Cricetulus griseus: one gene and its partner. The protein of the gene in region 1 binds, or shares a complex with, the protein of each later gene. Links are inferred from orthologs where the notes say so. Each region holds a gene or a part of one and is shown in the gene's direction. Other genes may lie near its edges.

Region 1 (3,649 bases):
AGATCCACCTGCCTCTGTCTCCCGAGTACTGCGATTAAAGGCATGTGTCATCATTGCCCGGCTTGAGAAATTTCTTAAAAGAATCCAGGAGTTTCTGAACAGATAAAATTGTTTTGTAATTCTTTGCCAACTTTGAGAGACTTTTGCTATTTACTGTCTCTGGAGCCTTCCTGCTTTGTATTTTAACTTTTGTAAAATGGCCCCTCCCTTTTTCTTCCCTGCTTCCCTTGGTCCACACACTGTGATGGTAGATGGGCTCCTGCAGGGTACCTCATTTGATGCCCTGTGCCTGGTCAGGTCGAGGAACATGTTTCGCGTATCCGGGAAGAGCTGGACCGAGAACGAGAGGAGCGCAACTACTTTCAGTTAGAACGTGACAAAATCCACACCTTCTGGGAGATAACAAGAAGGCAGCTGGAGGAAAAGAAGGCTGAGCTTCGAAACAAAGACCGTGAGATGGAGGAGGCAGAGGAGAGGCACCAGGTGGAGATTAAGGTGAGTGGAGTTGGTCTGTCTGTCTCCACCAGAGTCATGGTGCAGCAGCACAGGAAGGAGGCTGGGTGGGGACATTTTCTGTTCTTCTTTGGAAATAGACTCCTTTGCTTATGTTCTTTGTACTGTGAACAAGAGGCAATTTTTCAAAAAGAGTCCAAGGAAGTTTGCAAAGGTGATTTGGCTGTGTCGTTTGTCACCACATTGATCACCAGGGTTGATTCTGTTGACTAACCTGGACTAGGTGAGTATCCAAAGCCTCCTGCATGGCTACATGCGTGGTCTGTGGAAGAGGACCACTTACTCTGATGAAAGAAGACTGTGGTAAGGTCTAAGTGCAAGTGTGCCAAGAACTGCTATGAATTCAGCCAAGCAAAATTGGAAAGTATTTAAAGCATAGAGCTAGGCATGGTGGTACATGCCTGTAATCCCAGCATTTGGGAGGTAGATGTAAGAGGACCAGGAGTTCAAGGTCAACTTTAGTTATGTAAATAGTTTGAGGTCAGCCTGGGCTATGGGAGACCCTGTTTCAAAACAAACAAGAATATGAGGTTTTAATTTTTATTCAAATTGTTTTATAACTGAATGACCTGCCACAGTGTCCACCGTATTCCCGTTAGAACCTCCCAACAGTCTCTGAAGAGGACAAGGTAAAGCAGTCTCATTCTAGTAGCAGGAAAGACCCTGCAAGTTCTGAGTATTTCATTTGCAGCCTCTGTGAATGGCAGGAGTATGAGCAGGCCGCCCTCTACAGTTCTGCCTCTTAGCTGCCTGTGAGCTGGGCATGCACTGGGGCTTCAGATGAGCATGTGGCACCCCACCCCCACGCTCTTTGCAGGTGTACAAACAGAAAGTAAAGCACCTGTTGTATGAGCACCAGAACAACCTAGCCGAGGTGAAGGCTGAGGGCACTGTGGTCATGAAGCTGGCCCAGAAGGAGCACCGCATGCAGGAGGGTGTACTGAGAAAGGACATGCGGGCACTGAAAGTGGAGCTCAAGGAGCAGGAGCTGGCTAACGAGGTGGTGATAAAGAACCTTCGTCTGGTAGGTACAGCCTGTAGTTTGATGCTATGGAAAAGTGAACCTAGATGCCAGAACTAGGTCTTTGACATCTAGGGATTTGTGTTTTTGTGCAAAAATGATTAGTGGTTTTTAACAAATAAGTTAGCAAAACTTTTATTCAAATTTGTAATATGTAGGGGCAGAAGAAATGGCTTAGCAGTTAAGAGCACTGACTATCCTTCTAAAGACCTGGGTTCAATTCCTAGCACCCATATGGCAGCTCACAACCATCAGTAATTCTAGTTCTAGAGGATCCAACAGCTTCTTCTGAATTCTGTGAACACCCAGGCACACATATTGTATGCATGTAGGCAAAATACCCATACACATAGAATAAAACTCTGAGCTGGCTCAGTGCTTAAGAGTGCTGGTTGCGGCCGGGCGGTGGTGGCCATTGCCTTTAATCCCAGCACTCGGGAGGCAGAGGCAGGCGGATCTCTGTGAGTTCAAGACCAGCCTGGTCTACAAGAGCTAGTTCCAGGACAGCCTCCAAAGCCACAGAGAAACCCTGTCTCAAAAAACCAAAAAAAAAAAAAAAAAAAAAAAAAAAGAAGAAAAAAGAAAAAAGAGTACTGGTTGCTCTTACAGAAGACCCTAGTTCAATTCCCATTACCCATATGGTGATTCACAACTGTATATAACTCCAGTTCTAAAGGTTATGATGTCTTCTTCTCCATAAGCACCAGGCATGCAGATGGTATAGACATAATACTCGATCACATAAAATCAAATAATTAGATAATAAATCTTATTTAAAAATGTAGCATGTAATTGCTCATTAAAATAATCTTTGAGTTGGGTGTGGTAGTGCACAGGAGAAAGAGGCAGAGGCAGGTGGATCTCTGCATTGAAGGCCAGCCTGGTCTACGGAGCGAGTTCCAGGATGGCTAGTGCTAAACAGAGAAACCCTGTCTCAAAAAACCAGAATAATCAGCATCTGTGTGTACTGCTCTAAGCAATAGTGAGGCAGGCTAGCAGGAGCTGTGTAAGGCTCCATGTAGATGTGACTGCTGATTCTGGCTTTGGAAAGGTTGTACAGTGCTCATGTCTGCACTGTCTGTCAGACTCAGAGGTGTCTCCCCTGAAGGAAGTGAGTTATGTATGAAATGTGGAGGTTCTCCAAGCCGTGTCATTGGGCATATTCTATGATATGGCGGTAAGGAGAGTCCAGGAAGTAGCAGCAGCACAGGAGTTACTAAACTGAGTTTTCCCACACATAGTAGGGTCGTGGGCCTCTCTGTCTGGCTTTCTAGTAACACCCCCTTTTCATTTGTACAGAAACATGCTGAGGAGATGACCAAGATGCGAAATGACTTTGAAAGGCAAGTTCGAGGTCAGTTTCGCAGATGTGCAGGGTGTATGTAGGATGCTGTCAGGGAGCCCCTCCCATCACTGCTTAGTAACTTAAGGCACATAAACCATGTTAAAACAGCTCAGTCTCTCTCTCTCTCTGTCTCTGTCTCTCAGTCTCTCTCTCCGTCTCTCTCTCTCTCTTTCTCTCACACACACACAGATAGAGAGAGAGAGACAGACAGACAGACAGGCAGACAGAGGGGAGAAGAAGACAGAAAGTAAATTTTGTTTTGTTTTTTTTGTTTTTGTTTTTTCTCTGTGTATCCTTGGCTGTCCTGCAACTCACTTTGTAAACCAGACTAATCTCGAACTCACAGAGATCCGCCTGCCTCTGCCTTCTGAGTGCCGGGATTAAAGGTGTGAGCCACCATGTCTGGATCAAGAGAGAGAATATTTCTGAAGCCAACAGATTCATTCAGAGCCATAGAAAAACTCATTCCCATGTGAATGTGGCAAGCTGTGATTACCACTCATGTCTCCATTTCTGTCTAAAGCCAGCCGTTAGCAGCACATAGCACTTTGTTCAGGCTCCTGGATTTCAGAGCCTTCCATGCCAGAAGTCCATCTGCTTTATTGACTGAGCCCTATGGTGTGTGGCTGGACAGCCACATAGGCCATGGTTAGTGTGCACTGAGTTAGTGTGGGACACCCACTGCAAACACTGATTATCATAGACAGAGGAAAGGTGATAGTGGCCTATGTGCTGAATATGTCACTTGCAGGAAAAGTTCCACCAAAGCC
Region 2 (4,316 bases), on another chromosome or scaffold:
CATACCCTACCCTCTGCTGTCCCTGCATAGGCAGGGTCCTGAGAACCAAAGACAGATCCCTGGCAGAATGCAGATTACCACATTCTAGAATGTCTAATGCTGCACGCTTGATATCTGTGTGAAACACAATGTAGCCATGGCCCTTTACCTTTATTTTTGGGAGTAAGTGGCAAGAAGGGCCAGGGTCCCCACTTTTAAGCTGATGTGTGGGGTAGGGGGACGTCTGGTTTCCAATCTCCCAAATTTTCAAGGTCTCCCAAGTTTCTTAGTTCTGTTCCTTGAGTGAGACTTTTCCCCACATGCAACCTCATTTCCTTTCTTCATGCCTCTATCCCTATGGTTCCTACCTCAGAGATGAGCCGCCAGCGCCGGGCCCTGCAAGAGGAGTTGAGGACCCGAAGCAAGCAGCTGGAGGAGGAAGTGAGAAGCCTACGGGAGCAGCTAGGTAGTCCCCATCGCTCACTCTTATTCCCCAGGCTCACAAACAATCATGGAAGAGTGGACTTGGGAGGTCCTTCACTTGCTGTCTACAGTCTTCTGGTTGAATTTTAACTAGGGTCACCTTCACCCTAGCTTTTCTCTGAATTGAGAGTTCAGTGGCACAAACCCCTATGTGAGGGGCTGGACTTGGCCTCTCTGGGAGTTTGCTCAGTACTTAAGAGCACTTGTTCTTACAGAGAACCTGAGCCAGCATCCTCATAGTGGCTCACAAACCATCTGTAACCTAAGTGATAGGGGATCTAATTAAAGTCCTCTTCTGACCTCCACAGACACCCACAGGATGCACATACATACATGCAGGCAAAGCACTCATACACATAAAATAACAAAATAAATAACTCAAAAAAATAAAATAAAAAGCCCTCCAAGATAGAAGTAAGGAAAGGTAGGACTCTCACCCCTTTTCCCCCTTTGCTTAATCTCCCCAAACCCAGCAGTTACCCCCTTCACTGCCTTGTCCATCCTAAGCAAAACACATTTCTTGTTAGTTTAGCTGACCTTTGCAACCAAACTACAGAAAACAGTAGACTTAATTTATTTTAGTATCTTCAAACTTGGGCACCTGGTAGAAGGCCTTAAATTACTACTTGTTAAATCAGTGAATATACCAATTAAATAGGAAAACAGGTCAGAAGAGGGCATCAGATCCCCTGGAACTGGAGTTAAAGATGATTTTGAGTCACTGGGAACAAAACCTGGGTGCTCTTAAACACTGGGCATTGCTCCATCCCCTCCTGACTCTTTGTAGTCCTCAAAAAGCCCAAGGTGGCCTCGAACTCACAGTGATCCTCCAGCCTCAGTCTCCTGAGTTGTAGGATTACAGATGTGAGCTACCACATCCAAAATATCTTCAGTTTCCGCTATAAATATTCATGAACTGCTTATACAGGCCAGGGATTCCATCTCTAACATTGGCCTTCTTTCAAATTAAAATTCAACATTTATTGAACACCTGCTACATTAGGTGTTTTGTCATCCATTTTCACATTTAAGAGTCATAGCAAACAAGAGGAACGTATATCATTTTCTCTCCAAAGATAAAGAAGGGGCTAGAGAAAGGGTTCAATGATTATGAACACTGGCTGCTCTTCCTGAGGGCCTGGCTTTGTTCCCAGCACCCACATGGTGACTTACAACCATTGTAATTCCAGTTTCAGGAGATCCAATCCAATGCCCTCATCTGTCCTCCACAGGCACCTGCATACATATACACACATGGGGAGGGGGGGAGGGGAGGGATAAAAGTTTTTTAACAGTTTATTTATTAAGTATAGTGTTCTGCCTGCATGCATGCCTGCACACCAGAAGAGGGCAGCAGATCTCATTATAGATGGTTGTGAGCCACCATGAGGGTGCTAGGAGTTCAACTCAGAACCTCTGGAAGAGCAGCCAGTGCTCTGAGCCATCTCTCCATCCCAATAAAATTATTTTTAAAATCCAGATATAAAATTAAAAATAAAAATATGTATAAAGATAGAGAAACTGCACCACATTAGTTGGCACAAGTCTATAATCCCAACCCTGGGAGATAGAGGGAGGACGATCTGGAGTGCAAGGTTGTCCTTGGCTACATGGGGAGTTTAAGGCCAGTCTGGGCTACATAAGACCCTGTCTTAAACAAAACAAAGCCAAACATTTAAGTCATGGAGACCCAGAGATACTTGTCCCATGCTGTATATGTAACAATCACCAGACTTTGGACCCGTCTCCTGTCTCAAGACCTCTACTCACTCTGCCATACCTCAGTGAGTCCTTATAGACCTGGGGGAAGTTGATGACCCTAAAGTCTGTAATGACTCTGTCAAGGTTGGTTACTGCTCTTGGTGTAGTGTCACCATCCTGTCCTCTTTATCTTTCTGCCCTGCACCCTAGAAACATGCCAAAAGGAGGCTAAGACAGCAAGGGAAGAGGCTGAGCAAGCCCTCAGAGAGCAAGATGAAACCCTGTCTCAGCTTCGTGCCCACGTGGCAAACATGGAGGCCGAGTATGAAGAAATCTTGCATGTAAGCACCACCCCCTGGAAGCCATCTTCTCAGGATCCCATAACCCTCCATCCCTATGCTCCCAACTAGTGTGATGACCCACAACCCAAGGGAGCCATCTAAGTATAAACAGAAGATACAACCATTGACAGAGCCAGTGACTTATAATCCCAGTACTTGGGTGGCTAAGGCAGGAAGATTTCAAGTTCAAGGTCAACACTGGCTACAATGTGCTTGCTATATAGCTGCTACATAGTGAGACCTAGACCAAAATAATCAGGGCCTGTGAGTATAGGTCAATGGTAGAGCTCTCACTAGTATGCAAGGCCATGGGTTCAACCTTCCCAAAAGAGGGGAGGGGAGGGGAGCAGGAAGAGGAATGGGGAGGAGGAGGAGCAGGGAACAAAAGGAGTAGCACAGGTTTGTAATCCTACTATTCAGGAGGCTGAGGCAGGAGGATCATAGGTTCAATCAAGACCAACCTAGGTACAGAGTTCAAGGTCAGTCTAGGCAGTATAGTAAGAGATTCCACCTCAAAATAAAAGGTAAAAAGAGGGTTTGATGGACAGCTCAGTGGACAGGGTGCTTGTCTAGCATGTATGAGGCCTTAGTTCCATCCTGAGTGCTGAAGAGAGAGAGAATAATGGGCAGCCAGGAAAGGTAGCTCATGCTTGCAATTCAGTACTTTGGGAAACTGAGGCAGGAGAATTCTGAGTTCAAAGCCAGCCAGGATACAAAGCAAGGGTATCTTACAGAAGAAAGGAAGGAGGGAGGAAAGGAAAGAAGGAAGGAAGGAAGGAAGGAAGGAAGGAAGGAAACGAGAAGGAAAGGAAAGGAAAGGAAAGGAAAAGGAAGAAGGGAAGGAAAGGGAAAGGAAGGAAGGGAAGGGAAGGAAAGGGAAGGAAGGGAAGCCATTGGCAAAGAACTATTCCTAACCAAGCTGGGCAACCTAAGGCAACATTCCCCCTTCCCTGTCTCCGGGAACTGAGAGCTTGTTGTTCACAGGGCAGCCTGGACTGTCTCTTGGCCAAGCTGAGAGCTGCCAAGCCTCAGTGGGATGCAGCTGTGCTGAGACTCCACACCAGGCACAAGGAGCAACTACGTCAGTTTGCTCTCAACCCCCTGGAACTTTGAAGCCATTGGCCCCTAATTTCTGAGGCCTAGCAATAAAGCGACTTGGAGTAGAATTCATCAGAAGTGTGGATTGTGGCCTTTAGCATTGAGGAACAGCTCTCGTGGGGACATCTATATTCTGGGTTAACCCCATTGTCCCACTGTTCTAAACACTGAACAATAAGAAATGGAAAAGGTTCTAAACCCTCTCCTACAGAAACTAGATCCCATTCCCTTAAGCCTGGAGCACCTTTGGTTCCTTTAAACTACCATGGCTTATCCTCACTAAGAAAAACACAAAGCCAGATGTCCATGGAAAGACTGCATATATATATATATATATATATATATATATATATATATGTATGTATGTATGTATGTATGTATGTATTTATTTATTTATTTATTTATTTGGACAGTGGCATACTAAGGTGTTCACGTAGAGGCTAGAGGACAACTCCCAGGAATTGGTTCTCTCCTTCTACCAACAGGGTTCTGAGGATTGAACTTGGGTTGTCAGGCTTAGCAGCAAACACCTTTACCAACTGAGCCATCTCACTGGCCCACTGGGAAAGGCTGTAATAGGACATTACAGTGGCCAGGAACCAGCTCCCAAGTTTCTTTTTCTTTTTAGTTTTATGAGACAGGGTTTCTGTGTAGTTTTGGAGCCTGTCCTGGAACTAGCTCTTGTAGACCAGGCTGTCCTCAAAGTCACAGAGA

Evidence for each region. Proteins that work in one complex are often made in the same cells at the same time.
Region 2: Gas8 (region 1) and Ccdc153 share a complex: the UniProt entries of both Homo sapiens proteins name them as parts of the nexin-dynein regulatory complex. The link is inferred for Cricetulus griseus from reciprocal best matches to the Homo sapiens genes DRC4 and DRC12.

The regions. Positions count from the first base shown.
Region 1 is NC_048596.1:200,177,104-200,180,752, forward strand, and holds part of Gas8 (dynein regulatory complex subunit 4), read left to right. Parts: intron 1-251; exon of another isoform or gene 252-297; coding exon 298-495; intron 496-1,330; coding exon 1,331-1,537; intron 1,538-2,833; coding exon 2,834-2,888; intron 2,889-3,649. UniProt on the Homo sapiens protein: Component of the nexin-dynein regulatory complex (N-DRC), a key regulator of ciliary/flagellar motility which maintains the alignment and integrity of the distal axoneme and regulates microtubule sliding in motile axonemes.
Region 2 is NC_048597.1:155,930,897-155,935,212, forward strand, and holds the end of Ccdc153 (coiled-coil domain-containing protein 153), read left to right. Parts: intron 1-352; coding exon 353-445; intron 446-2,373; coding exon 2,374-2,504; intron 2,505-3,488; coding exon 3,489-3,617; 3' UTR 3,618-3,674; downstream 3,675-4,316. UniProt on the Homo sapiens protein: Component of the nexin-dynein regulatory complex (N-DRC), a key regulator of ciliary/flagellar motility which maintains the alignment and integrity of the distal axoneme and regulates microtubule sliding in motile axonemes.